Macaca mulatta: one gene and its partners. The protein of the gene in region 1 purifies or fractionates together with the protein of each later gene. This does not show direct contact. Links are inferred from orthologs where the notes say so. Each region holds a gene or a part of one and is shown in the gene's direction. Other genes may lie near its edges.

Region 1 (7,212 bases):
GTGAAGGGCTGTGGGAGAGGCACCCCGGCCTCCCGTGCCGGCTCTGCTCTGTTCCCAGCCTGCTTTGTGGTGAGTTGGGGGCAGCAGTGGCCTTAGCCGGTGATATGGTTGTCAGGAGGCCGGTGACGAGCCTGAGCTCTGGTCAGTGTCTTAACTGATGAGAACTCCACAAAGGCTGTCTGCTGGGACCAGATGGCCTTTGAGATGCCAGGATGCTGCCTGACTTACCGGGCTTTGGTTGCCCCTTGTCCTCTGTGGCGGGTGATGGCAGCTTGCTTGGGGGCTGCTGGTGGCTTGGACATCATGTGTACAGCACACATGCAGAGCCAGGACCATTGTCACCAGGTGCCGAGAGCACACGTCGCAGGTGAGCTCTGCAGTGGACGGTCTGTGTGGAGGCTTTGTAGGGCCCTGCGGAGCAGTGACATAGTACAGGGCAGGGGCTCAGAATGGGGTTGCCTGGCATCTTGTTAATGCTCTGTGTATGTGTCCTTATTGCCAGTGAGTTCCTGTGCAGGAGTGTTTAGGGGCTGGATCCAGGCCGAGGAACCAGACGCTGTCCTCCAGAGGGCGGGAGCCAGCTCCAGATGGGGACAGGGTCAGGGCTGGGTGTTGCTGGCTTTGTCCTTCCTCTGCAGAATCTTGTCTATCCCACCCTGGGTTCCTTCAGGTCCTGGTCAGTGACTGTTCTGGGGGCCCCTCCCTTCCAGCTTTTCCTCTTCCTCGTTCCAGCCCAGGTGCTGGGTGAGAGGATGGTTGGGGTGTGTTTGTGTGTGAGTGGTGTCCAGGCAACGGCCACAGCCTGGAGACGCACAGACTTCCTCTCTTCCCCCTGCCACCGCCCCATGCCTCCCACGCAGCCTCGGGTGATTTGCTGGGCCAAGCAGCAGCCGTGTGCTGAAAGTCATCGGGCGTTTGAGTTTGTTGAACAAATACAGGTTGAAGCAAATTTGAAGACAGAGGTTCAGGCCCCGCCCCTGCAGTGTCCCACCCAAAAGTGGGGATAGTGGACCCAGACCCTCATGGGGAGACAGGGCCTGAGGCCTCTCAGTGCACAGTGTCCAGCCTCTACTCGCATGCCCTGCACACAGTCCACACTGGGGACTTCACCAGGCCCGAGGCCTCAGGTGTGAAGTGACCCCCCGGACCTCAGGCGAGGCGGCCTGGAGGCTGGAGGCTGGAGGTGGGGAAGAGGGGTGGGCTCGAGGGCAGCTGTAGGAGCCTGGTACTCAGTGGGAGCCTTATTAAGCATGAGTGATGGAGGCACTGAGCCTGTGGGCAGTCCCAGGGTGGGGCTGGGCTCAGTGTGAGGGAGAGGGCTGGGTCTTGGGGAGAGGCTGTGCCCAAGGTGGGCACTCAGCCCCTGTGGTCAGCCCCTCGTCCAGCAGGGACTCCCCTGGGGCGTCTGACGCGGCGCTGGTTGTGTCCATGCCTGTAGGGCGCCATGTTTTGGAAGTTTGACCTGCACACAAGCTCACACCTGGACACGCTGCTGGAGCGGGAGGACCTGAGCCTGCCGGAGCTGCTGGACGAGGAAGACGTGCTGCAGGAGTGCAAGGTGGTCAACCGCAAGCTGCTGGACTTCCTGCTGCAGCCACCCCACCTGCAGGCCATGGTGGCCTGGGTCACCCAGGAGCCGCCCGCTAGCGGTGAGGAGCGGCTTCGCTACAAGTGAGTTCCCTCGCTCCTGGCCAGCCCGTCCCTATCAGCATCACACATACCTTCACTACGCAAGCCTCACAGCTACCCTGAAATGCGTCAGTATCAGTAAACTCCAGTTTGGGGATCAGGAAAGCGAGGCAGGGAGCAGCCAGGCCCCCCCTGCACAAGGCCTCACAGCTCACTGGGTGCAGACCAAGGAATGCAGTGGCATAGTCACAGGAGCCACAAAGTCATGGGCCCAAGCGATCCTCCCGCCTCAATCTCCCGAGTAGCTGGGACCACAAGTGTGTGACAACATGCCTGGCTGGGTTTTCTGTTTATTCGACGCTTTTTATTTTATTTATTTTTTATTAAAAAAATTTTTTGTGTGTTTGCGAGACGTTTGTCTGCTATTGAAGACATTTTAAGATTACTTATTTTTTGGCCGGGCGCGGTGGCTCAAGCCTGTAATCCCAGCACTTTGGGAGGCTGAGACGGGCGGATCATGAGGTCAGGAGATGGAGACCATCCTGGCTAACACGGTGAAACCCCATCTCTACTAAAAAAATACAAAAAACTAGCTGGGCGAGGTGGTGGCGCCTGTAGTCCCAGCTACTCGGGAGGCTGAGGCAGGAGAATGGCGTAAACCCGGGAGGCGGAGCCTGCAGTGAGCTGAGATCCGGCCACTGCACCCCAGCCTGGGTGACAGAGTGAGACTCTGACTCAAAAAAAAAAAAAAAGATTACTTATTTTTTAATCCAAGTGATACTCAAAAGACACTTTTTTTTTGTTTTTGGAGACTCACTGTGTCACCAGGTTGGAGTGCAGTGGCATGATTGTCTCACTGCAACCTCTGCCTCCCGGATTCAAGTGATTCTCCTGCCTCACCCTCCTCAGTAGCTGGGACTGTAAGTCACCACACCTGGCTAATTTTTGTATTTTTAGTAGAGACGGGGTTTCGCCATGTTGCCCAGGCTGGTCTCAAACTCCTGACCTCAAGTGATCTGCCTGCTTTGGCCTCCCAAGGGGCACCTCCGCACAGTCCTAGAGCAGATTGTGGTCCCTCAGGGCCTTGAATGGCTGCTGCTGGGGTGGCTCTTGTCTTGGAGCCGTCAGGCACCGTGTGAGAGTTTGGAGAAGGGAGGCAGGAGGTGGGGCTGGAAGCTGAGCAAGGTTCCAGGAGTCAGCGGAACTGGGGCAGTGTACGGGGCCGCGAGTGAAGCCGCTGAGTCAGAAGGGATGAGCGTTAGCTGTTGGGGGATTGGGAAGCACAGGAGCTTCAGGACCAGGCTTGTCTTGGGGGTGGTGAGGAGCCTGGGATGGGACGGCTGGGTGTTAGCAGGGTAGGGGAGGCCTGGTGTGGGCCCTTATTTCTGCGTCAGCCCTGTCCTCTGCCTTGTCATGCCCTTTCCCCTTCCGGGATGGGGTCTCTGCGGCCCCAGGAACCCAGTGCCCGGTGCAGAGAAGAGGGTAGAGCCTTGCCCCCTACCCCAACCTGAGCCCCCACCCACCTGTGCTTGCCTCCCAGGTACCCCAGTGTGGCCTGCGAGATTCTGACCTCAGACGTACCGCAGATCAATGACGCCCTGGGTGCTGATGAGTCCCTCCTGAACCGGCTCTACGGCTTCCTGCAGAGCACCGGCAGCCTCAATCCGCTGCTGGCCAGCTTCTTCAGCAAGGTCATGGGCATCCTCATCAACCGCAAGACGGACCAGGTGCCCTGGCCCCCACCCTGATGCCACGTGGGGTTGGGGGTGGCGGCCGGGCCAGGCCCTGTGCATGACGCAGCCCATGCGTCCCCAGCTTGTGTCCTTTCTGCGGAAGAAGGATGACTTCGTGGACCTGCTGCTGCGGCACATCGGCACCTCGGCCATCATGGACCTGCTGCTGCGCCTGCTTACCTGTGTGGAGCGGCCCCAGCTGAGGCAGGACGTTGTCAATGTGAGCAGGGCCGGCTCCTCTGGGGGTAGGGGGCTGGACACGGTGGATGGTGATGCAGCCCCCGCCTTCTCACCCTCAGTGGCTCAACGAGGAGAAGATCGTCCAGCGGCTGATTGAGCAGATCCACCCGTCGAAGGATGAGAATGTGAGTGCTGCCAGTGCCCCTGCAGCTTCCCCTTAGAGTCCGTTCCCCATGCCCAGCTCCCCGCTTTTAAAAGAGGAATTGGGGCTGGACGCGGTGGCTCGAGCCTGTAATTCCAGCACTTTGGGAGGGCGAAGTGGGAGGATTCTTGAGCCCATGCGTTTGAGACCAGCTTGGGCAACATAGTAACACCCATTTCTACATAAAAACTTACGTGTGTTGAGTGTGGTGGTGCACACCTGGAGTCCCTGCTACTTGGGAAGCTCAGGCAGGAGGATTGCTTGAGCTGGGAGGTCAAGGCTACAGTGAGTCATGATCACACCACTGCACTCCAGCCTGGGTGACAGACCCCGTCTCAAAAAAGGAAAAAAAAAAATTGGTGAGAAAAGAGAGCCTTGAGAACCAGGTATATCCATGCCCTTTGAGAAAAGGAAGGAAACTTGACTCAAATGATTCTCCCACCTTGGCCTCCGAAAGTGCTAGAAAGGTTTTTTTCATGACCCAGGAACTTGGCACATAATGCCTTGTAGGGAGGGGCCCTCCTCATCACCTGTCCCAGCCCTGGCCCCACATCCTTCCCTGCCCACCCTGACCTGTGCTGTTGCTGGGCCTGGCAGCTTTTTCCCTGTCTCCTGCCTGATTGAACCCCTCCATGTCCTTCTAAGGGTCCATCCAGCAGCCTTGCTTTCAAGGACCCTCACATCCTCCCCTTTAGTTCTGGGGGGGGCCCCACATCCATGTGTTTCTCCAGCTTACGTCTCCATCTCTGTCCTGGTGTCCAGCACAGGGCCTAGTGTAGAGTAGGTGTTTGTCAAGAGCCTCCGACGTCCGAGGCCCCCGGGAGCAACGTGTCCCTCCCCATGCCAGCTGCTGCCTCTGAGAGGCGTACAGGCTTGCAGAGCAGAGATATGGCTCTGGGCTCACCCAGGCTAGGGCCTGTCCCTGTGAGGGCCCTGAGGCATGGCCCGGGAGCAACACAGCCGAGCCCTGGCGGCTGCCCGTTGGGTTAGACTCAGCTCTGCTTATGCTTTTCTCTTCTGTAGCAGCTTTACTGAGATATAAATTACACCGCATATGACGCACCCACTGAAGCTTACAGTTCAGTGCTTTTAGTGTATTCACAGCGTTGTTTATCATCTTGTTGAATTTAGATTATTTTTTATCACTCCAAAAAACAAGTCCTGCCTGTAATCCCAGCATTTTGGCAGGTGAGGCTGGAGGATCGCTTGAGCCCAGGAGTTTGAGACTAGCCTGGGCAACATAGCAAGACCTTGTCTCTACAAAAAATTTGAAACTTAGCTGGCATTGGTGGTGCACACCTGTAGTCCTAGCTCCTCAAGAGTCTGAGACAGGAGGATCTGTTGGGCCCAGGAGTTCAAGGCTGCAGTGAGCTACGATGATACCACTGCACTCCAGCCTGGGGTGATGTAGAGGCCGTATCTTTTTTTTTTTTTTAGACAGGGTCTTGCTCCGTTGCCCAGGCTGGAGTGCAGTAGTGTGATCCCAGGCTGGAGTGCAGTGGTGTGGTCCCAGGCTGGAGTGCAGTGGTGTGGTCTTGCCTCACTGCAGCCTTGACCCCCTGGGCTCAAGCGATCCTCCTGCCTCCGCCACATGAGTGGCTGGAACTACAGGCGCATACCAGCATTCCTGGCTAATTATTTTGTACTTGTAGAGATGGAGTTTTTGCCACGTTGCCCAGGCTGGTCTCAAACTCCTGGGCTCAAGTGATGCTCCCACCTCGGCCTTTCAAAGTGCTGGGATTATAGACATGTGCTGTCACACCCAGCTGAGACCTTTTCTCCAGAAAAAAGAAAAAAAAGATACCCTGTATTCATTAGCACCCCCTCCCAATTTTTCCCTTTCTCTTCTCAGCCCCTGGCAACCACCAGACTATTCTGTCTCTGGATTTGTCTTTGGACATTTCATAAAATGGGATCATACACCATGTGGTCTGTGTCTGGTTTCTTTCACTAGCATGATGTTTTGTGGCTCATTCACGTGGTTGCGTGGATCAGTTTCACTGGTTTTGTGGCTCATTCACGTGGTTGCGTGGATCAGTTTCACTGTTTTTGTGCTCATTCACGTGGTTGTGTGGATCAGTTTCACTGTCTTTGTGGCTCATTCACGTGGTTGCGTGGATCAGTTACACTCCTTTTTTTGGCTGATTAGCCCTCCCCTGTGCGGACAGACCAGTTTGGGCATACCCACTCGTCAGTCGAAGCTGTCTGGGTCGTTGCGGGCAGTGCTGCCGGCCCTGTGTGCGAGCTCGTGGGCCTTCTGTGGATGCCTCCTGTCCTGGGGAGCCTTCCTGGGTTCCTGTTCTCTCCACCATTTTCCCTCTAGCAATTGGTGCTTCTGTGCCCCCTTCTTCTTTTTTTTTTTTTTTGAGACGGAGTCTCGCTCTGCCGCCCAGGCTGGAGTGCAGTGGCCGGATCTCAGCTCACTGCAAGCTCCGCCTCATGGGTTCACACCATTCTCCTGCCTCAGCCTCCCGAGTAGCTGGGACTACAGGCACCCGCCACCGCGCCCGGCTAGTTTTTTTTGTATTTTTTTTTTTAGTAGAGACGGGGTTTCACCGTGTTAGCCAGGATGGTCTCGATCTCCTGACCTCGTGATCCGCCCGCCTCGGCCTCCCAAAGTGCTGGGATTACAGGCTTGAGCCACCGCGCCCGGCCTGTGCCCCCTTCTTCTTAACGCGTGTCCCTGTGTCTGGGTGACCGTTTTTCCCTGGATGGTCAGCTCGGGGGCGGGGCTTCCAGCACCAGGCTGCAGAGGGCCCGGTGGCCCACCCAGGATCCTCACCTCTCTCTCCCCATCCCAGCAACATTCCAACGCGTCCCAGTCCCTGTGTGACATCGTCCGCCTGAGCCGGGAGCAGATGATCCAAGTCCAGGACAGCCCGGAGCCTGACCAGCTGCTGGCCACCCTGGAGAAGTGGGTGTGCGGGCGAAGCTAAGGCTGGGGGGAGCTGACTTGGGGATGCCCTGGGCCCCTGGCCCCTCACCCTGACCCCCGCCCCCACCCCCATAGGCAGGAGACGATTGAGCAGCTCTTAAGCAACATGTTCGAGGTGGAGCAGAGCCAGTCTGTCATCGTCAGTGGGATCCAGGTGCTGCTGACCCTGCTGGAGCCCAGGAGGCCGAGGTGAGGGATATGAGCCGCAGACCGTGCATGCTGCCCATCCCCTGGGGCTCTCTGGCCCCTCAGAGGCGGGTCTCGGTGTCCACCAAGTGAAACTGCCGCCTCCAAGTGGCGCCTTGCTCTGGTGGCTGCTTGTGCTCCCTGTGCAGTGGACAGTATGGGCCCAAGGGAGGAATCTTCCTGTCTTGTTTGACAAATGAGGGCGCTGAGGCTGAGGCCACTGCTGCAGCTTGTGTTGGGAGGGACCTCAGGCCCCCGTGCCCCTGCCTTACCATAAAGGCCTCTAGCTTGTTGGGTGTGCCTTCCCGCCCTCATCCCTCACCGGTGCCCCCACAGTGGACTGCCAA
Region 2 (7,775 bases), on another chromosome or scaffold:
GCCTAAAAAATAAGTACCAAAGAAAACAACCACATCCCCTTGATATTTCTCTAAGTGGAAAAAGTTGAACTTAGTTTGCACAATCTTTATCAGTCATTTTTTTTTTATCAGAAGTACTTCTCTGTTTTGAATTTCTTAAATATTCACTTGTCTCCTTTTCCTGTAAGATGTGAGTTCCTTGAGGGTAGGAGCCTGTCTTATTCAATAGAAGACACAAAACTACTGCTAATTTAAATAATTTAAAAACTGACATATTTCTCTGTGTATTTTTTATTTGCTTTTGATTTTATAATATACCTGGGCTAGTACTTCCTATCCTTTTTCCCAAAGGAATTTTACAGTCCCTAAACTGTAAAATCTAGTGAAGGTAGAAGAATGGAAGAACCTGGTAGTCTTTCTCGCCTAAGTTTACTGCTCCCTCTCCCCAGTTAACACTTAGTATGTGCTTGTCTAGTTACTAGAGTCTCAAACGACCTTTCAGCAGACTCTCAAGAGACCACTGAAATGTTTGGGGACCTAGCAACTGAATGGGATCTCTAGACTTTAGTCTGAATTACCTCATTTGTACTGGGTCGAGGGGAGGAGGAGTTTAATAGCCTTTGATCCACTCACTGGCTTCACAAGAGATATCATTCAGCTATCCCAAATATCCATAACAATAAGGTTATCTTGTTTAGATTTCACAACACTATGAAGTAAATTCTGTTAATGTCATTTAATAGATGTTAAAATGAACACAGAGAGGTTACTAAATGAGTAGCCCAGGATCCCAGAATTAGGTTAGCGGGAAGCCTGGATTAGAACTTCAGACAATTTGACTACAAAATAGCCTACATTCTCAAGCACCATACTATTACTCTATTTCTCCTAGATAAAAATCTCTACAGGTTATTATTTTTCTTATGTAAGTGTCAAGAAATTTAGGCTCAGGGAATTTAAGTAGTTTGCCCAAGGACACAGCTAGGAAATGATGGAATCAGAATTGAACTTCAGGTGGAATGACTCCTGAGCCCTTAGTTTTAACCATCACCCCATACCTTTGTGTTGTATCCCATCAGCTTCTGAAATTTTAATTGTTCACTTATTAAAGATATGAAACTCACTTTGTTGCACCTTAATGCCTCCTATATTTTCTGGTTAAAATATATGTATACCAACACACCCCCACTATTCTTGTTTATAAATCTCCCACCCTTCCAGAGTCTTGTGATGTTAGAATTCATTACAGTGGAATTATTTATAGGTGGAAGGAAACAATATGTGTGTAACACAGTCCCTACCTTCAAGGAGTTTGCTTTCTGGTTGGAAAAGACCTAAGTATGGAGGTTGACGTAAAACAAGAAACAGGATATACCTGCTTAAGTCTAAGTAGGTGAACTGAGGTACTAGATACTTTGGAACAAGTTAAGCTTGTTAAGATAAAAAGAGATTTTGCTTTGGGGGCCTGAGAACCCTGAAGATGAAATATAGGATATTATTACTATAGTTGTTTCGCTTTCAGGTATTTCAAATATTAAGGTATTTTTGATTCAGCTATGTGGAGATGAATAACATAATTTATGTTTAATATTTACATACCTTTAATTTGGCTTAAAAGTATTTTATATATTTTAAAATATAGTGAATTGTTAGCATATTTTAATTGGTACAAATATGTTAGTTATTGCTTCTTTCGTAGATTGATATATTTTATAGCTTTCAATGGTTCTTGTTTTAATTTCTGACATTCTTATATTATCTGTATCATGCTGGGTTTTTTATGGTTATAAGACTTGCTTTGAAGTACTCATTTGGAAATAACTTGTTTTAGAATATAGCAATAAATATTATATTCCTTTGTTATCTAAACTTTTCACAACCTTTATAGGTTACCTGTTTGTTAAGATCACTTTTATAAGCTAGTATTATAGGTTGCAAAGTTCTGGAGATGAGTGGTGAGAGTGTGTCTGTATGTGTGTGTACTCAGTGATAGCATAGCAGAATAGATTAGAAAGAGTATGTGTTTGAAATTATATACAGCTTTATTAATTTACACAACTTTGGGTAAAATACATCATTTCTGAGTCCATTTTTCCCTCTATAATGGGAATATAGCAAGATTATTGTATTAAATGAGAATGTGCAGCACATAGCATATCACAGATGTTCAAAAGTATGTTTATTAATAAAAATACTAGTTAATATGAAAAACACAGATTGAAGGGGGACCATGGTATTTTCTTTGTAAGTTTTATCTTGAGAGATATCCCCCATGTTGGGTAAACAGAGAAAGAAGAAAAAAAAAAAAAAAACAAATGATTGGTTTTGACATTTGTGACTTTGGGAAATTTATAGGGAGGGAGATTATTTGCATTACCCTGTACCCTTTTGACATAGGTGATTCAGGACGAAGGCCTTTTTTTTTTTCTTAATGTACCTCTTTAACAGATTTTTAAGGCTTTATTCCCTATCCAAATGGGAAGGTAGGATTATTTTATTTCTTCAGTGAAAAATCAAATGATTTATATCATTTTAGGTTAGGATTTCTACATTATGAAATGTTTGCTTTTCCCTTTAAAATATGAATCAATGATTGATTAAATTCACCAATTTAGAAATTGTTAGACAATCTTAAATTTCATTTGTTTAAACTTTGCATTCTAGAAAATAAAATACATCTGGCAGATTAAAACTGATCTTGGTAAAAATATGAATAAAACTATTTCATGGTTTTTATAATCTTATAAAATATTTCTCCATCTTTAAACTTTTATGAGTCCATTGCAGGCATATTCTTACTGCAACTGTCATCATAGGGTTAAACATTTGCTTTATTGTAACACACGAAAGCAGTTAAGCCGTTAGGAATTGTTTACTTGCTAAAACCACTGTTAGTCAGCAGAGGCAGTACACCAGATTTCCTTGTGGCTTTTAGTGGAAAATGTTAAAAGCGCACTCATTTTTCAGTTATAGAATTTTTTAGTTTGATCTGGATTAGTCACAGAACTGGCATGAACCTTCTAATTGTGAAGGCTGTCCAAATGCACTATTTTTTTCTCCTGCTAGAGGAAGCTACATCCCGAGCAGTAGCTCAGATCTCTGGTAAGTGTAACATGTGAGCATTACTAGGCATTTCATCCTGCGGGTCTGCAGTCTTTGCTCTTCAGACTGTTGCTCCATTGGAATGCTTCTGTGGGACTGATACTGAGGTTCTATAGATATTTTTTAAGGACCTACTCATTTGGGGATGTCAGCGGTGTTTTGCAAGATCATCTGAGGAACAAGAAAGCATTTGAAATCTGAAAAGGATAACTGTAGCGGTTTTCACAGTGGAAGGAAACTATATTGGCAAAGAGGCAGATGATTGAATAAAGTAGTTGGCTCAAAGAAGATGCACAGTCTGCTGTTTTTTCCTCTGAATGAAGACTGTTTAATGGAAGCTGTATTCATGTGGAGATCAAAGGAAACACTGGAATGATAAACTACTATGTTTTTTTTTTCTCCCTCTTTTTTTTTTTTTTTTAAGAAAACAAAAAGCCTGCAGCAGTAATTTGAGCTCAAATGCCTTCTAATTCCTTCACAGCCTGCTTGTTCTATTAGGATTCTCCACTAACACCATTTCTGCCTGGTGCCTGTGCCCTTTTGCTGGAGCAGCCACAGACAACTGCCTGATGGAGAAAGAATGAATGCTCTGCCTTGCTTATACTATCGATGGAAATAAAGCTAACTGTGTTTCTTCTATTATATGGGAAATCTGGATTAATCAAGCTGTATTCTAGTACCAAGAGTCGTATTGTCTCTTGTGATCTGACTCATCACATGTAAATGTACTGCAGCTTTGCTATTAATGCAGAGTGGTTTTGTTTTTTCTTTTTTTCGCCCCTTTCCCAAACACTGAAAGAATTGTTAACCTCTGAGCTTCATTTTCAGGATTTGTGCTGAGCTCTAGATCTTTTTTTCTGTGAATAGTATCTGCATTAAACCAGTGATGAAGAAATGAAGACAAATTAGAAGTGGAAACAGAATAGTGAGATTTTATTTTTTATTTTCAATTATAAGCAAAACAGCTACTGGTAACTCTATGACCTTGCAGGAAACAGTGGGTATTGCTGTGATCATCGCCGTCATAGCAGTTGTTTCTCATTTCATTCTATATTGTGTGGTGGTGTGTCACCAAAAACAATGATTGTTTTGTGGAAGTAAATTTCAGAGATAGAGCAATAAGACTCTTTTGGTAGAGGAAAAATATTTTTAAATGAGCTTGGACTCAGTTTTAGTTATTGATATGTTGGTGTGAAATTTCTTCTTAAGTATTGCAGTAACCCAACAGAAATAATAGAATTTTGTTATATTTAGGAAGTTACAAATTATGTAGTCATAATTTTAAACTTGTTTTTCCAGTAGTACTTATTAACTTAAAAAAAAAAAAAAACAGTTGTGCTGTTCGGAGAATGTTTGTAAGTGTTGTACAGAAGAGGAGGAAAAACTACTTGTGCTCTTCCAACTGTGACTTTTATCACATAGCTTGGAATTTAGTGTTTTAAAAGATCGAATGAGTCGAGTGTGTATTGTTGTTTTGGAGGAGGTAGAAGATGAGTCTCCTGCATTCATTTCTAAATTGCCACAGGAAAATAAATCCCTACATTCTCCACCTTCTGGAAATGTATTGGTAAGATATGTAAGTTTATATGTTTACTATATTCTACTGAACTAGTAGTATAAATCTTGTTTTTTAAGAGTAGATGTAGATTTCCAATAGTTTCTTTACAAACCCAAATTAAAGAAATATATGTGTAAATATGATGCAATAATATTTTTGTATAAAATGCACATTTCATTTTTACTTTTTCGAATAACATTTCAGTCTTTACTATGTCTTAATCTCTTAAAAAGACTGTTTAAAAATAATTTAAGAATTAGTAGTTATGGCAACCACGTTTCTGTTTTCATTTTGTGGTTTCAGAAACTGATGTAACAAGAATCAGGAACTCTACATATTTTAGGAAAGGTTGACTACCCCTAGCAATACCAAAGCATGGCTTTTTCTGTAATGAATTTTATGTATTTACATGCAAGACTTTGTATGAGATTCAGTCTTCATCTTTAACCTTGGTTTTAGTGCTACTGTCAGCTGGCTCCTTGACTAGTATAGTATACCTTATCAAGAGTCTGTGTCGTTAAGAAATCATTATACTTAGTTATGCATGTGTTTGTCTTTTCAAGTTATTTAAGTATCCAGTATTTTTTGGTCTTTGATTAGTGGCTATTTTCATCAACTGCCAGGTTTGCTTTCTTGGGATTTGTATCTTTGTACCTGTAGTGCTAATCCATGTAAGATAATTTGATGCCCCAAACAGACCTTTTCAAAAGAGCCTTACTTCATGGGCTGGAAATTGCTTAACAAGTTCTGTCCCACAAGTAGGTGTTGAGATCACACATTTGTATTTGGAAGAGTCTTTCTTTTTGTCATATACAGAAACAAAGGCTTCTACTTATAAGAAATGAAATAAAATCTGATTGTGTTTATTATACTACCTAAATTGGGTCAAACTGAATTCATTTTTTTTTTTTTTTAATTAGGCTTTTTTTTTCCAAGTAGAAATCCTGTACTTTGACATGATTTGGTTTTATGAAACTTCTGGCTAATGTCGAAAGTGATTATTGCTACAGGGAAGAAAACTTGTAGATTCAGAAACTATGTAATATCCTTAGTCACCCCACATGGATGATTCTAATGTTTTTATTACTCTCTTATATTTTAGCCATCACTGGTGCAAGCTATATTTAACGGAGATCCTGATGAAGTTCGAGCACTAATATTTAAGAAAGAAGATGTTAACTTTCAGGTAAAACAGTTAATTCACTGATGCCAGCCTTTAAAACTACTTATTAAAATTATTTCCTAGAATTGTGATTTTTGTTTATAAGACATAATATAACTCTGTAACAGTTGTTTTAAATGAGGGCAGGAAGGTATTGAGGCAAAAGGGAAAACACTGGACATACACTCAGGGCAGTAATAGCCAGTAGGGGTCTTTTGTTCTCCCAGCTTTTTACTTTGAAATTTTTTAAACACAGGAAAGTTAAAAAAAACACTCTGACTACCCATATACCTTTCACTTATGTTTGGCATTGATAACATTTTGCCATATTTGCTTTATTGATATACATCTTTTACATGTATATGTAGTAAGTTGCAGAAATCATGATACTTCACCATTAAATACTTAACTGTGCATTTCAAATGAGGATTCTTTTAAGTGTATATCTAAATATAAGATCAGATTTGCTTTTTGTAAATAATCATGGTGAGTGTTTTATGATGATGGTTGATTAATTTTTGTCAGATTAGGTTTTCGGTAAAGTCATTGTTCGAAAAGTTTTCAGACTTAAAGATACAGTAGTATATTCACTGCTGACATGATGGACAGTTTTAGAAAGAGTGGATATACGGATAATTTTCTCTCTGTATGTTTTTTCAGTGGCCAGTATGTAGTTTACTAAATTGTAGCTGAAAGTACATTATGTACTCTAACAAAATTACATCCACTAATGTATATATTTTTACCAGAAACAAATGTACCCCTGAGTTATGGAGGGAGTGAAAAGTCATATGATTCACAAAGTCGCTGTGGCAACACCGAAACAGACGACCTAGAAATGATTGGGGTTTTAAGAAAGCACCCGTTGCAAGCTCATTTTTAACTCTCATCTTTCCTCCTTTTTTTTTTCTTGATACAATACTGCTGTGACCACTTAGGTAGATACAAAAAGGTTTTAGCTTATTTTTAAAACAATGGATTATCTGAATAGATTTGAGGCATTGGCTAAAACTGTTGTTAATTTTAACATTGGGTAATGAACAGAATGCTGTCATTATATATTTTTTAAAGCTTTTTCTAAGTGAATTGACTTCAAGTTTATATTTAGTTGGAAACATGCACCTAATTCAGGACATATGTATGTATGTATGTATTTAGAGACAGAGTCTGGCTCTGTTGCCCAGCTGGAGTGCAGTGGCATGATAGCTCACTGCAACCTCTACCTCCCAGGTTCAAGCGATTCTCCTGCCTCGGCCTCCCGAGTGGCTGGGACTACAGGCACCTGCCACCACGCCCAACTAATTTTTGTGTTTTGAGTAGAGACAGAGTTTCATTCACCATGTTGGCCAGGCTGGTCTCAAACTCCTGATCTCAGGTGATCCGCCCGCCTTGGCCTCCCAAAGTGCTGGGATTATAGGCGTGAGGCACTGCGCCTGGCCATGGTTTGTTTTAAATGGAGTGTCTGGTCACTTTACCCAGGGTATACTGAAGAGTGTGCATTTCTAAGAAAATAGCAAAAAGGGTATATAGATGCACGAAAAGGTGGAAAACATGTTTTCTGTTCCATTTAACTCCTAAGGTTTTCTTGTTGTTTTGGTTTTATTTTAATAGTACTGACAAATACTACCTTGGTTAGAAAGTTTGAACTGTAATTCCATTTACCAGGGCCAATTTCTCCATCATAACAAAGTTTATTACAGCTAACATTACTTTTATGTTATATTTAATTAATTTATCCTAAATTTAAAAAATATTCAGAGTCGTTGAGAGCATCAGCTCATTCATCAGTAGTCCTTTCTTGAGAGTGACTCTAACATTGTCTTCAGTGATACAGAGGTTTTTGACAACAACTTTTATGATTGCCTTTAGGCCTTTTCTCTCATGACCATTTCTTAGTAGTTGAGAGTGTTGCCTTAAAGTCAAGATTTATTAACTTTTTGGCCGTTATTTGAATTTAAGATGGTAAATATCTTA
Region 3 (7,212 bases), on another chromosome or scaffold:
TTTTATAAACAACCTTACTCATTACTTTAAGATAAATTCCTAAGTGTGGAATTATTGAGTCTAATGATATACTTTTTTTTTTTTTTTTTTTTTTTTGAGACGGAATCTCACTCTGTTGCCCAGGCTGGAATGCAGTGGTGCCATCTTGGCCCACTGCAACCTCCGCCTCCCAAGTTCAAAAGATTCTCCTGCCTCAGCAGCCCGAGTAGCTGGGACTACAGGCACGCGCCACCATGCCCGGCTAATTTTTATATTTTTTGTGAGAGACAGAGTTTCACCATGCTGGCCAGGCTGGTCTCGAACTCCTGACCTCATGATCTGCCCGCCTTGGCACCCCAAAGTGCTAGGATTACAAGCGTGAGCCACCGCAGCCTGCCAGATATAAATATTTTTAGACCAACTTGCCCTCTTATGAGGTCACAACAGTTTACCCTCCAACAGCAGTGCATCAGAATGAAACCTCCATGGACATTTCTAAAATTATATTTAACGGTCTCCCATATAAGGCATTATAGTATGACGCCAGTTAGCACCCATGGCGGTGATTTATTTCAGTGTAGTTAAAATATTATCAGTGTTACCTATATGGTACCAGAAGTCTCAGACATTCCTTTCATTGCTTGCATTTTCTCACTTCATGCTCTGGGAAGCCCATGGGAACCACAAAAAGTGCTCAGCTTTATGAAGTTTATTTCAAGGTATAGTATTTTGGTGAATATAAGTGCAATGCTTTTCAAACTTTATCATGCAAATGAATCACCTAGGAGATCTGTGAAAAAACAGATTCTGATTTATTAGGTCTGGGGCAGAGCTTGAGATTCAGCAGTTCTAACTCCCAGTAATACTAATATGACTGCTCTGCAGGCCACATGTTTGTCAGCAAGGGCTTAGGAAGAAAATTGTGAAAGGGTCTCTGACTCCTCAGTTGATTTTCAAAGATTATTAACCATCTATTTTCATAAGGTACAGAGAGAGATCTTCCACTGGTCGAGGAAGAAAAGAATGAGTTTTCCTGAAATAGGGTTTCTTCACAGTATAAGGCAATTAATGATGATGAATGATATGGATAATAGATGTAATGGGAATTCCAAGGATAAATGGATAATTGAAGTAGTAACTGATGTCTTGAAATAGGAGGTGGGACTTTTGATGTATGTTAAATGTTGTAGGATTCAGACAATATTCCGAATTCTATTCCCTACTTACCAGCTGGCCTAGCTAAACTAGCATCTGCTTTACCTCTCTGGGGATTAATTTTAAAATTTATCTTAGCAGCATTAATATTTTAGATCAGGCTTATGTTAACCAAGTTCTAATAGACCCTATTAGGACTCTTAGAGTGTCTGGAGCCCATTCCCTATTGAGAAGAAAAAAAAATTACTCAGAAAATAGCTCTATAGAATGTTGTTAGGCAGAGGAAATTCATTTTCAATTTAAATCATAATGAAGAAATTTCACAGTAACTTTTCTGTGTCTCTGTCCTGTATTTCTTATCATTCTTTTTCTTTATTAGGGTCATGAAAAATGTGCCTTGTTAATACTTGACAAGATACAAGACGAGAGCCTTATTAATGCAAAAAATAATGCACTGCAGACGTAAGTGTAACCACTAAAGTTGGACTTGAACCCAGGGTCATAGTCATTTATTCAATAAATATTAAGAGCCTGCTGTGTGCCAGACTAGCTCTGGGGGGCACAGTGGTGAAAGATGCAGACCTGGCTTCCCCTGCATGAAGGTGACAGTCACATACCTACAAGTGCTGACCAAGCTAGGCAGTTTTAGTTAGAATCCTTCTTTTGATATGTCTTCATAGAATTTTGTGAAGTCTGTGTTTTTCTTTGCTGATATTTCTGGGGTAATATTATAAATTTAGTGGGCTGTTAGAAAAATCTTATGGACTGACATATTTGGGGAAGCTATTTGTATTATGTATTAGCATTATGTATTCTGACTAGAAAATGACAGTTTTACAAATCAGGTTCCCAGAATACATTTGAAGAGTTTCTAAGCTATTTGTCTTGATTATATTTTAATATAATTCAGTGTAACCCTTGGTGTGAAAGATCTAAAAGCTGTTTCATTTTCTGCTTTAGGAAATTATTTATGCATTTGTTTTAAAGGCAAAGGAATTTTTTTCATTTAAGATTCTTAAGCAGGGCGTGGTGGCTCATGCCTGTAATCCCAACACTTTGGGAGGCTGAGGCAGGTGGATTACTTGAGGCCAGGAGTTCATGACCAGCCTGGCCAACATGGTGAAACCCCATCTCTACTAAAAAATACACCACCACCAAAAAAATTAGCTGGGCGTAATGGTGGGTGCCTGTAATCTCAGCTACTTGGGAGGCTGAGGCCGGAGAATCACTTGAGCCTGGGAGGCAGAGTTTGCACTGAGCTGAGACCGCGCCACTGCACTCCAGCCTGGGCAACAAGATCAAGACTCTGTCTCCAAACAAACAAACAAACAAAAAATTGGGTGTGGTGGCTCATGCCCGTAATCCTGGCACTTTGGGAGGCTCAGACAGGCAGATCACTTGGGCCTAGCAGTTTGAGACCAGCCTGGCCAACATGATAAAACTCCTTCTCTACAAAAAATAAAAAAATTAGCCAGCCACGGTGGTTTGCACCTGTAGTCCCAGCTACTCAGGAGACTGAGGCAGGAGAATCACTTGAGCCCAGCAGAAGGTCAAGGCTGCAGTGAGCTGTGATCATGCCACTGCACTCCAGCCTGGGTGACAGAGTGAGACCCTGTCTCAAAAAAAAAAAAAAGATTCTTAAGCAGTATATAAGCACAATATACTGAGTTTGACATAATTCTTTAAGGTATTATAAATTCACTAAAACATTTGTGTGCATTTTGTAGTAACAAGGAGGGTTGAAATTATACATATATATGGGTGGCATTAATGCCAGTCATATTATTGAACTGTGTGAAACAGTGATTCAAATGCTGTGTTAGAAATCAAGCAGTAAAGGGCCTTCTGCAAAAAACAGCAAAGCTTGAGTTCTTCCTCTGTCTTCCTGTTTACTGCCATTGAGATTGTTTGAGATGCAGAATGTTTGTAATATCTGCAGCAAGATCTGGGCCAAACATACAACAACAGTTGGACCATTAGCACCTGGAAAAGATCTGGGCAGCAATTTTTTTTTTTTCTTAAGTAAAAACATCCATGTACTATTTGCAGAGTCTAAGTACTTCCTTTTAGCGACATGGGCTAACCAGAATTCCACATTCTCACCCAAGTATGTATCACAACTGATGCTCGGTCTTGTGTTTTTTAGACCCCTCCACGTTGCTGCACGCAATGGCTTGAAGGTGGTAGTTGAGGAGTTGCTGGCCAAAGGGGCCTGTGTACTTGCTGTAGATGAAAATGGTAAGTGGAAAAAGTGAACAGTGACTGCAGGTACTTTCCATAAGCTAGTCGAAGCCAGAGGAAAATGAGAAAGATAGGTGCTAGTTTAAAAAGCGGTTAAGAATTCTGTCCCCCTTGGAAGTCCCATGTGGGAGAAATCAAGCAAGGATAACTGGTCCTGTCTGTCTTTTTGTAAATCACATAGTCTACCTGTAGCCCACCCAGTGCTGTCCATTTTGCATGCAATGCCAGCAGCTGGTCTCTAACTCCTCAGCACAGTGGTTAAAATATTTTAGACACACTAAAAGAGTTTCAGGTTGACACTCAAAATTTTAACTGCAGATGCTGAAGAGTTAGGGATTACACATGTCATTAGTGCATGCTCAAGGGCTCAAATGAAAACCTAGATTTTTGATTGTATTTAAGTTCATTCTGAGATCAAACTTTTTTTTTTTCTTTAAGTACAGATCAGAACTCATATTCCAAGTATGGAAATTTGAGGAACAAGAGTAAAATTTCTTAATCAGTGTCTAGGCTTGAAGCTTCCCCCGATCTGCATAGTGTTCCTTTCCTAATGAACTAATTCTTAACAGAAGCTTTCTACTCTGCTTCCTAAGACATTTTGAAAAGAATGGCTACTAGAATTGCACTAAGCTGCCATTTTAAGCACAACGCCTATTAACCTTGGGGAGCAAAAAAGGAACTTCTGGATATTTATGAATTCTGTAATTTTTAAAATGTGGCATTTAATTAAAGTATTATAATGTATTAATGTAACTCAATCAACTGCTTGTTACAGGTGTTGGGATTAGCAGCTCATGCCTGTTTCTCAGAAGTAAGCAGCCATACTGGCATCAGTAGCTAACTCTTATTAGTTTTGATTTTCCAGCCCCATTTATCCTAGCATGTACCCTGCTCTGTCCCCCACCTGACTCATCTAGGAAGTGCAGAAAGTTCCCTATTACTCCATCTCCTTGGTTTTCCTGCCTCACCTTCCCACACCCTCTTAACGCCACTGTAGACTTAGGGTCGGCCTGCAGAGGCCCACAGTTTTTCTCCAAAATGGTCAAAGAGAATAGAATAAATTAGTTTTGCTTTTCCTGGTGTAAATCTGCTGCACTGAAGGTTTGTTCAGCTGATAGTGACCTTAGGAACAAGAGCCCTGGGTTGGTGCATACCTGCATCCCAAAGGCCTGGGAACGTTTGGGGCCATTTTATACAGCAGTACAACCACGATTCCTTTACTCATCACTGACTTTTGTGGAATGAAATGTTAAACTACCTGTTCATTCTTATTTGTGTTCATACCAGAAAAATGAATGATGTACTAAAGAGCAGGGTGGGGAGAGCAGGTCGAGTGATGATAAACAAAACAACAAACGTGAAGTTTTAGTGAGCTATTCCTCTGAATTACTGAGCAAGTGCCCTACTCACTGTGTAGTGGAAACTTTGACCAGCCGAGAAGGCAGCTAACCCTTTTCAGGCCAGTAGAATAAAGGTTGGATAAGGGAAATAATCAAGTCAAAGACTTAATCTACTTCCCCAAAGAACCTGTATTATGAGTTAAGACAGTTTTCTTATCTGGGCTGGACCCATTGAGTCTAAATGAGAATAACATGGTTCTAATTATGACAAGCACAGTAATTTTCTCACATCCATTACATTTTAGATTTGGGACTTTGGTTGGTGAGTGGCCATTTTTAAGTACTCTATTAGGCCAGGTGTGATGGCTTATGCCTATAATCCCAGGACTTTGGGAAGCCAAAGTGGGAGGATCGCTTGACCCCAGGAGTTTGAGAACAGCCTGGGAAATATAGCAAGACCTCGACTCAAATAAAAAATATTAAAAAAAAAAAATCAGCTGGGAGTAGTGGCACACACCTACAGTCCCAGCTATTCGGGAGGCTGAGGTGAGAGGATTGCGTGAGTCCGAAAGACAAGACTGTAGTGAGATCAAGGCCCATGCCACTACAATCCAGCCTGGGCAACAGAGTGAAACCCTATCAAAAAAAATGTTTTTGTTAAATTTCTCCTAAATGATTGTAAATTTTTAATCATAAACAACCAGTGCTTTCCTGTGTCTGATCTACTGAAATGATTCCATTTTTCTAAAACCAGTTATTGGTGTCTACTTTCTATGAAACATATATAAAGTGACAAAACTTCATTACTCACTTTTGCAGTCATCTAATTTTCCATATCTTTTCTAATTGGACACACAATTACCTAACAATAGAAAGTCATTGTTCTCAGAATGAGAGTCCTTCTCAGGCCCAGGCCTGAGGCTCATGGTGTGTGTGTGCTGTCAGGCGGAAACATCTTCCTGATTGTCCTGTTGCTGTTTATTGTGAAATTGTGTCCCACACCCACCCCCTCATGTTTGTGTTCACTAAATGAAGGCTGGAATCCTGCCTAACATTGGATAATATCGTGCTTGTCGTAGTCATATGAGCTGAAAACAAAAATAAAAAGCCCTCCATAAAATGTCTTCCCTCCCTCCCCGTCTAGCCTCACCCCTAGCATGACTTGTGAGAAGTAACTCCTCCTTTTACCTGGCATGATTTCTAACTCAACATACATCTCCGCCTGTGAGGTCATCTGAGATGTACTGTGGAATGCTCGTGCCTCCTCTAGACTCCCCAGAACTAACCACTGCCTTGTCTGCATTTACGCCCAGGTCATACCCCGGCCCTGGCTTGCGCTCCTAACAAAGACGTGGCTGACTGCCTGGCCCTCATTTTGGCTACCATGATGCCTTTTTCTCCTTCCAGTACAATGACGGCTGTCAACTTCGTTTGTTTAAAAAAAGACAATTTGAGCAGGACGACCCTCTCCAATCTGGGTAGCATGGTTAGCCTGTGCAGTAACAACGTAGGCTCGGAGGATGGGTACAATGAAAATGATTCTGATTCGGAAACGTTTTGACTTTGGACTGTAGAAGCTTTCCTTTGATCACCTGTGTTGGAGGAAAGGAAAGAAGCTTGAATTCCAGGTTTATGTGTGTTCAAGTATTATTTGGGGCCTGGGCTTCCAGAAGCTAGTAGAGAAGGAATTAATCGAGGCGGGCAGTGAGGCTGTTGGGTGGAACACTCACACAGATGGCCCCAGTTTTGTTTTGTTTCACATCTTCTTTAAGATACTTCTATGGAAGTCTACCTCTCATTTTAAGTAAAGAATAAAAGATGTATTTAATTCCTGTTCTTTGGGGATAATGCAACAGAGAGGCAGCTGTTCGCTATGAATAATTTTTCTTTTCATGTATTTAGCAGTGAATTCTCAGAAGTATATCAGTGTGACATTCATGTCCCCTGGGAGGGAAGGGAAGAGGCAGATAGGAAATGCCTCAAACCTCTTCTCACTTTGATGTTTACTTCCTCACTAGAAGCCAAAGGTAAAGGTGTTCATCTTTAGAAATAATGCCTGTAATAATCTCTTTAGAGAGTCCAACTATTTATATCCTCTCTATAGTAAGCATTTAAATATCCAGAACTTCTTTCTGAGGATCTCTGTTAAAGTTGCCAGATGAATTGAAAAATTGAACTTGCGTATTTTGTTTAACACAGTGTTCTCTATAACAAGCCTGTGACTAATTTTCACTTAAGTGATTGAACCGAAATTTATCTAATAACATTTCAGGTGAAATTTACATTGCACCAAAACTTTGACACAATATGCAAAATTAATATGAAACTACCCTTTGTTAATTTACTCTTAAATCAAAATACTAACTTTTAAAAACCATGAGAATCATCAGCATTGTTCATCAGTAGTAAAATGAACTTCCAAGTCAAGGCCATGCCAAGTGAGTGAAAAGTGTGACTGCAAAAAGGAACAAAAAAAGTGAAAGCAGAAAGTAGAAGT
Region 4 (7,212 bases), on another chromosome or scaffold:
GTGGATCATGAGGTCAGGAGATCGAGACCATCCTGGCTAACACGGTGAAACCCGTCTCTACTAAAAATACAAAAAAAAAAAAAAAAAAAAGCAAGCCAGGCATGGTGGTGGGCGCCTGTAGTCCCAGCTACTTGGGAGGTTGAGGCAGGAGAATGGCGTGAACTCGGGAGGAAGAGCTTGCAGTGAGCTAAGATGGCCACTGCACTCCAGCCTGGGTGATAGAGCGAGACTCTGTCTGAAAAAAAAAAAAGAAATATGATTGGGTGTCATGGCTCGCACTTGTAATCCCAGCATTTTGGGAGGCTGAGGTGGGAGAATTGCCTGAAGCCAGTAGTTTGAGACTAGCTTGGGCAAAAAAGGGAGGCCCTGTCTCTATAAAAATTGCTGGGCATGGTGGTGTGTAACTGTGGTCCTAGCTATTGAGGAGGGCAAGGTAGGAGGATCACTTGAACCCAGGAGTTTGAGGCTGCAGTGAGTTATGATTGCATCACTCCATTCCCGCCTGGGTAACAGAGCCAGACCCTGTCTTAAAAAAGAAACAAAAAATGATGAAATATGTAATTTTTTTTTTAACTGATCATTGAGAAGAGACTCCATGGCTGTGGAGCCTGAGGGTACATGACTCTTAACTGTAGAATATGGGAATATCTCTGTATGACACTGTGAAGTGTCATGTAAGTTCAGTTTGGAAGAAAAAGAGATATCCACTTGTTTCCTTAATCTCTTGTCTCATTGAAATAGATACAGAATTTGGGTTGGCTGTTAGATTAGCTTACTGAGAAATTGGACAATTTGTAAAGGATGTCAGAATTCTCAAGAGATAGATGGGGAGATGTATGAAAGAAAATGAGAAAGGGAGCCTATGATAATGATCTAGTAGTGGTTTTATGGTAACTGAGCTTTATTTGGTGCTTTTTTTAGTCGTGAGAACTGTGTGCTTGGCAGTTTGGCTTACACTTTATTTCTTAAAAATGTAAATATTTGGAGTCCTCTTAACTGCTTCTTTACACATTTCACTCTCAGTTTTGTTGTTTTGCTTCTTAACAGGAATTTGTAATCAGCATATATTGCATTTCTTTTATAGTTTTATGACCTTTGTGAACTGTTCAGAACTGGAGGTCAGGTTCCTGACACAAACTACATATTTATGGTATGTAAACACCACTGATATCAAGTGCTTGTTTAACATGGAAAGGATCTGACTTATTAAATGTAAATTGCATAATAATTTTTTGCCATGTGACAGTCCCCATTTCAGTATATGAAAAGGTGTGTATTAGTCCATTTTCATGCTGCTGATAAAGACATACCCGAGACTGGGCAAGTATAAAAGAAAGAGGTTTAATGGACTTACAGTTTCACATGGCTGGAGAGGCCTCATAATCATGCAGAAGGCAGGCAGGACCAAGTCACATCTTACATGGATGGCAGCAGGCAAAGAGAGAGAGAGAGACTGTGCAGAGAACTCTTGTTTTTAAAACCATCAGATCTCACGAGACTTACTATCATGAGAACAGCACAGGAAAGACTTGCCCCCATGGTTCAATTACTTCCCACCGAGTCCCTCCCACAACATATGGGAGTTCAAGATGAGATTTGGGTGGGGACACAGCCAAACCATATCAAAGTGATTGTGTACTTTTCTACATTTAACTATGTCCTCTAATTAATTGCCTTAGTAAGCCACTGTAGATAGGGTTGGGTAATAGCTATCAGTAATGAGTGGGCATAAAAATAACCCAGAACCCCTGGTTTAAGGCATAAATCTTCAATTGACTATTATTTATTCAAACTTTTCGAGCATTCATTTTTATCTCTTGTTAATCTATGGATGGATGAATATACATACCTACACATTTGCTATTAAGGTAGATGTTTGCTTTTCTTTTGGAATGTAGTGTTACTGTTGAACTTTTTCTGGATCCTTCTCTCATTATCTTTCCTTCTGAAAGTTTCTGGGTCACTTTCCTATTTTTTTTTTTTTTTTTTTTTGAAATGGAGTCTCGCTCTGTTGCCAGGTTGGAGTGCAGGTGTGATCAGCTTATTGCTACCTCTGCCTTCCGGGTTCAAGTGATTCTCTTGCCTCAGCCTCCTGAGTAGCTGGGATTACAGGCGCGTGCCACCATGCCCAGCTAATTTTTGTATTTTTACTAGAGACGGGGTTTCACCATGTTGGCCAGGATGGTCAGGATCTCTTGACCTCCTAATCTGCTGGCCTCGGCCTCCCAAGGTGCTGGGATTATAGACATGAGCCACCGCACTTGGCCACTTTTCTTTCAGTTGTTTTCCTATTGGTGTAATATTGGCCCAAGTCAGATATTAATGGGAAGTGTAAATAGTATATTATCATATATGGTTGTTAAATGCAAAACTGAACCTAGAATGCTGTTATAATTATGGTATTTGTTTTTACAAAAAAATTTTTTTTCTTCAAGTAGGCAGCTCTTCCAATACAGTTAAAATGATTTCTTAAAATAGAAAATTATTTTATCTGGGCATGGTGGTGCACACCTGTAGTCCCAGCTACTTGGAGGCTGAGGTGGGATGATTGTTTAGGCTCAGGAGTTCTAGACCAACCTGGGCAACATAGTGAGACCCCCATCTCTAAAAAAAAAAAAAAAAATTGAATTTTTAAAAATTAAATTACTTAAAAAATACTGGTTAACAGATGACCAAATCAACTAATGCAGGTAATAGAGGATTGAAAAAAATGGTTTTGCCAGGTATGGTGGCTCACACCTATAATCCCAGCACTTTGGGAGGCCGAGGTGGGCAGATCACAAGGTCAGGAGTTTCAGACCAGCCTGACCAACATGGTGAAACCCCTGTCTCTGCTAAAAATAGAAAAATTAGCCAGGTGTGGTGTCGGTGTGCGCCTGTAATCCCAGCTACTCAGGAGGCTGAGGCAGGAGAATCACTTGAACCCAGGAGGTGGAGGTTGCAGTGAGCCGAGATTGCGCAACTGCACTCCAGCCTGGGTGACAGAGTGATACTCTGTCTGGAAAAAAAAAAAGCGAGAAAATGGTGGTTTTTCAGGGAAAGTTCTTGAGAGAATGGCACAGCAGATTCTTGTAGGTTTCCCTGGAGTCCAAAATCTTGTTTCTATAAACATTTAATAGAAACAGTTTGTTTACTTCTATTTTAATTTTTGTTAAAATCAAATTTCCAAATATTTCAGTATGTAACTTTTTATTGTAGTTATGAACCATGAGTTTGTGCAGTTTGATGTAATTTGAAAAGAATATTGTGGCTATTGTATTGTTTGTAACTGTACACTTTTACTTCACAGGGTGATTTTGTAGACAGAGGTTACTATAGTTTGGAGACCTTCACTTACCTTCTTGCATTAAAGGCTAAATGGCCTGATCGTATTACACTTTTGCGAGGAAATCATGAGAGTAGACAGATAACACAGGTCTATGGATTTTATGGTAAGAACTCCTATTTCTCTGATTCTGAATATTATTTTACTTTCCTCTTTGGAAAACAAAGCTACACAAGTCATACACATGCTTTATGTATATTATTTTCCCCACATCCTCACTCCTTCACTCCTCCCCAACAATTGAAAATCTTATGCTGGAGAGATTACTGTTAACTTTTTGGTGTGCATCTTTCTAGATCTGTGCCTCAAAGTGTAGTCCTTAGTTTATCTTGCTGGAATCACCTGGGTTCTCATTAAAAATGTAGATTGTGGGCTGGATGGGGTGGCTCACACCTGTAATCACAGCACTTTGGGAGGCTGAGGCAGGCGGATCACAAGGTCAGGAGATCGAGACCATCCTGGCCAATATGGTGAAACCCCGTCTCTTCTAAAAATACAAAAATGAGCTGGGCGTGGTGGTGCATGCATGTAATCCCAGTTACTCGGGAGGCTGAGGCAGGACAGTCGCTTGAACCAAGGAGTCGGAGGTTATGGTGAGCCAAGATCACGCCATAGCACTCCAGCCTGGCGACATAGTGAGCCTCCGTCTCAAAAAAACAAAACAAAACAAAACAAAAATGTAGATTGCTGGGCCTCACCACAGATTTATTAATCAAAATATTTTGGAGTGGGAATCTAGAATCTGCTGAAGGTGAATGTTCTGCACAAATTGGAGAGTCCATTCTCATCTATTTTGTGTGTGTGTGTATTTATGTGTGTTTATATATGTACAAACACACACTAAAATGGGGTCATACCTGATTTTTTGACTTTATTGTCATGTTTATAGCTGCATCATATACCATATGGATGTACCATAATTGATGTATCAGTTTTTTCTCTATCATTAGACTTTAGAGTTGTTTTTAAGCTGCTATTACACATCCTTTTACATATATCTCTGTATGCTCACTCCAGAGAATGCTAGGACCTCAGGGATCAGAAGCAGAACTTAGTCATAAAAAGCAAAATAGGCCAGGCGCAGTGGCTCACCCCTGTAATCCCAGCACTTTGGGAGGCCGAGGCGGGTGGATCACCTGAGGTCAGGAGTTTGAGACCAGTCTGACCAACTAAACCCCGTCTCTACTGAAAATACAAAAGTTAGCCGGGCATGGTGGTGGGGGCCTGTAATCCCAGCTACTTGGGAGGCTGAGGCAGGGAGAATTGATTGAACCCAGGAGGTGGAGGTTGCAGTGAGCCAAGATTGCGCCATTGCACTCCAGTCTGGGCAACTGAGCGAGACTATGTCTCAAGAAAGAAAAAAAAGCAAAATAGCTACTTCTCTAAAACTTTTATTTGGTTGAAAGTTACAGAGAGAGAGAGAGAGAGCGCTTATTAGGAACCCCCTTGAAGGAAATATAATTATCAAGATTATGAATTTGGATTTTCCTTGAGCACAATTAAGGCAGATATTGAGAGATTTGGAAACATTAATTGCAGAACCCTTTAGTTTTAAATTTTATATTTTGAATTATCTTCTGTCATTATAAAGATAGGCTGGGCTGGGCGTGTTGGCTCATGCCTGTAATCCCAGCACTTTAGGAGGCCGAGGCAGGCAGATCATGATGTCAGGAGATTGAGACCATCCTGTCTAACATGGTGAAACCGCGTCTCTACAAAAAATACAAAAATTAGCTGGGCATGGTGGCGCTTGCCTGTAGTCCCAGCTACTCGGGAGGCTGAGGCAGGAGAATCACTTGAACCTGGGAGGTGGAGGTTGCAGTGAGCTGAGATTGTGCCATTGCACTCCAGCCTGGGTGACAGAGCGAGACTCTGTCTCAAAACAAAAGAAAACAAAGATACTCTGAACTCTCTTACTCTTCAGTTTGTCTGCCATTATCAATTAGAGAAATTTTGATAATTGTTTTTATATAATTTTTTAAATACTTGTAAAGTTAGATAATATTTGTCTCCTTTCTTTTTTCTTTTTTTTTTTTTTGAGGCGGAGTCTCGCTCTGTCGCCCAGGCTGGAGTGCAGTGGCCCGATCTTGGCTCACTGCAAGCTCCGCCTCCCGGATTTATGCCATTCTCCTGCCTCGGCCTCCCGAGTAGCTGGGACTACAGGCGCCCGCCACCTCGCCCGGCTAGTTTTTTGTATTTTTTAGTAGAGACGGGGTTTCACTGTGTTAGCCAGGCTGGTCTCGATCTCCTGACCTCGTGATCCGCCCATCTCGGCCTTCCAAAGTGCTGGGATTACAGGCTTGAGCCACCGCGCCCGGCCTATTTGTCTCCTTTCTACAAGTTACTTCTTATTTTCGTTTACAAAACAAACACCAATTGAAATACAACTTTTGGATCAATATTTTAGATACCATACTATGATATTAGCTCAGTGAAGATACTAAAACTAATGTTATCAAAACACACACACCTACTATATATATGTAACTAATGCTACATGCATAATATATAAAACGCATATTGTTATATATGACTAATATATGACATATGTTTTTTATATGTGACTGTTTTTATATATACAGTTATACTCCAGAATTCGCCCAGTTTTCATCAATGTAGGGCTAAAGGGGAAAAAAATGGGGTGAGGAAGGAGGACATTTTAATCAAGGTGCCTTGACTGAGGAAAATGACAGCAACACAAAATCTAGTATTGAACTTTCTTGTTCCCAGAGCTCTGTTCTTGTAGTGGTGTTGTATGGTTTTGTTTAATAAAATGAAGCTTAACAGCTCCTCGGGAATAAGATAATTTTAGTTATTATAAGACTTACATTGATTTTAAAGGAATAAGATATCCCTATATAACTTTACACTGGGCCTTCAGTTCAACACATGCTGGGGCCGGGCGCGGTGGCTCACGCCTGTAATCCCAGCACTTTGGGAGGCCGAGGCGGGCGGATCACAAGGTCAGGAGATCGAGACCACGGTGAAACCCCGTCTCTACTAAAAATACAAAAAATTAGCCGGGCGCGGTTGTGGGCGCCTGTAGTCCCAGCTACTCGGGAGGCTGAGGCAGGAGAATGGCGTGAACCCGGGAGGCGGAGCTTGCAGTGAGCCGAGATCGCGCCACTGCACTCCAGCCTGGGCGACAGAGCGAGACTCCGTCTCAAAAAAAAACAAAAAAACAAAAAAACAAAAAACACATGCTGGGCAGTTACTATAGAGCCAAGCTCAAGATCCCTGCCTGCAACCTGAGCTCATTGTTAGGGCTCTCTTATGCCAAGTTTACATAACAATCTTGCTTCACATAGATATATAATTGAGAAAATCTTGGGGAGTGGTCATAACCTGCAGACTTCTTTCCTATATCATTTTCAGCTTCACTTAAGGCAATAATGGTATGTCAGGTTTTTTTTTTTCTAAAATTATGGAAGAAGTCAAAGTGCAGAGCTTCCATGGTGTTAACAGAAGAAGTGTGTACCCTATTAACTATGTAGACAGTCAGGGTATAGTGGCTCACACCTGTAATCTCAGCACTGTGGGAGGCTGAGGTAGGAGGATTGCTTGAGCTCAAGAGTTCAAGACCAGCCTGGACAACATAGGGGGACCCCCATTTCTACCAGAAATAAGATTAGTCAGGTGTGGTGGCACATGCCTGTAGTTCCAGCTATTCGGAAGGCTGAGGTGGTAGGATCGCTTGAGCCCAAGTGGTTGAGGTTACAGTGAGCTGTGATCTTGCCACTGCTGATTGCGCCACTGTATTCCGACTTGGGCGACAGAGTGAGACCTTATCTCAAAAACAAAAAGCTATGGAGGCAGCAGGAAGAGTGTTCAACTGGGAATTTGTAAGAACCTGACTGGCAGTCTGTCCTCAGTTGTGATCCACTGAA

Evidence for each region.
Region 2: the proteins of PPP6R1 (region 1) and ANKRD28 purify together in Homo sapiens (co-immunoprecipitation; 4 studies listed by BioGRID and IntAct, with this or other methods). This does not show direct contact. The link is inferred for Macaca mulatta from reciprocal best matches to the Homo sapiens genes PPP6R1 and ANKRD28.
Region 3: the proteins of PPP6R1 (region 1) and ANKRD44 purify together in Homo sapiens (co-immunoprecipitation; 5 studies listed by BioGRID and IntAct, counting the BioPlex papers as one, with this or other methods). This does not show direct contact. The link is inferred for Macaca mulatta from reciprocal best matches to the Homo sapiens genes PPP6R1 and ANKRD44.
Region 4: the proteins of PPP6R1 (region 1) and PPP6C purify together in Homo sapiens (affinity purification with mass spectrometry; 11 studies listed by BioGRID and IntAct, with this or other methods). This does not show direct contact. The link is inferred for Macaca mulatta from reciprocal best matches to the Homo sapiens genes PPP6R1 and PPP6C.

What each region holds. Positions count from the first base shown.
Region 1 is NC_133424.1:67,572,402-67,579,613, reverse strand, and holds part of PPP6R1 (serine/threonine-protein phosphatase 6 regulatory subunit 1), read left to right. Parts: intron 1-1,438; coding exon 1,439-1,671; exon of another isoform or gene 1,672-1,761; intron 1,762-2,445; exon of another isoform or gene 2,446-2,549; intron 2,550-3,115; exon of another isoform or gene 3,116-3,169; coding exon 3,170-3,356; intron 3,357-3,444; coding exon 3,445-3,582; intron 3,583-3,661; coding exon 3,662-3,727; intron 3,728-6,545; coding exon 6,546-6,658; intron 6,659-6,754; coding exon 6,755-6,868; intron 6,869-7,212. UniProt on the Homo sapiens protein: Regulatory subunit of protein phosphatase 6 (PP6). May function as a scaffolding PP6 subunit. Involved in the PP6-mediated dephosphorylation of NFKBIE opposing its degradation in response to TNF-alpha.
Region 2 is NC_133407.1:32,693,137-32,700,911, forward strand, and holds the start of ANKRD28 (serine/threonine-protein phosphatase 6 regulatory ankyrin repeat subunit A), read left to right. Parts: upstream 1-3,072; 5' UTR 3,073-4,531; coding exon 4,532-4,657; intron 4,658-5,741; coding exon 5,742-5,825; intron 5,826-7,775. UniProt on the Homo sapiens protein: Regulatory subunit of protein phosphatase 6 (PP6) that may be involved in the recognition of phosphoprotein substrates. Involved in the PP6-mediated dephosphorylation of NFKBIE opposing its degradation in response to TNF-alpha.
Region 3 is NC_133417.1:101,931,759-101,938,970, reverse strand, and holds part of ANKRD44 (serine/threonine-protein phosphatase 6 regulatory ankyrin repeat subunit B), read left to right. Parts: intron 1-1,513; coding exon 1,514-1,596; intron 1,597-3,280; coding exon 3,281-3,372; intron 3,373-6,028; coding exon 6,029-6,276; 3' UTR 6,277-7,212. UniProt on the Homo sapiens protein: Putative regulatory subunit of protein phosphatase 6 (PP6) that may be involved in the recognition of phosphoprotein substrates.
Region 4 is NC_133420.1:22,609,275-22,616,486, forward strand, and holds part of PPP6C (serine/threonine-protein phosphatase 6 catalytic subunit), read left to right. Parts: intron 1-1,084; coding exon 1,085-1,150; intron 1,151-3,289; coding exon 3,290-3,431; intron 3,432-7,212.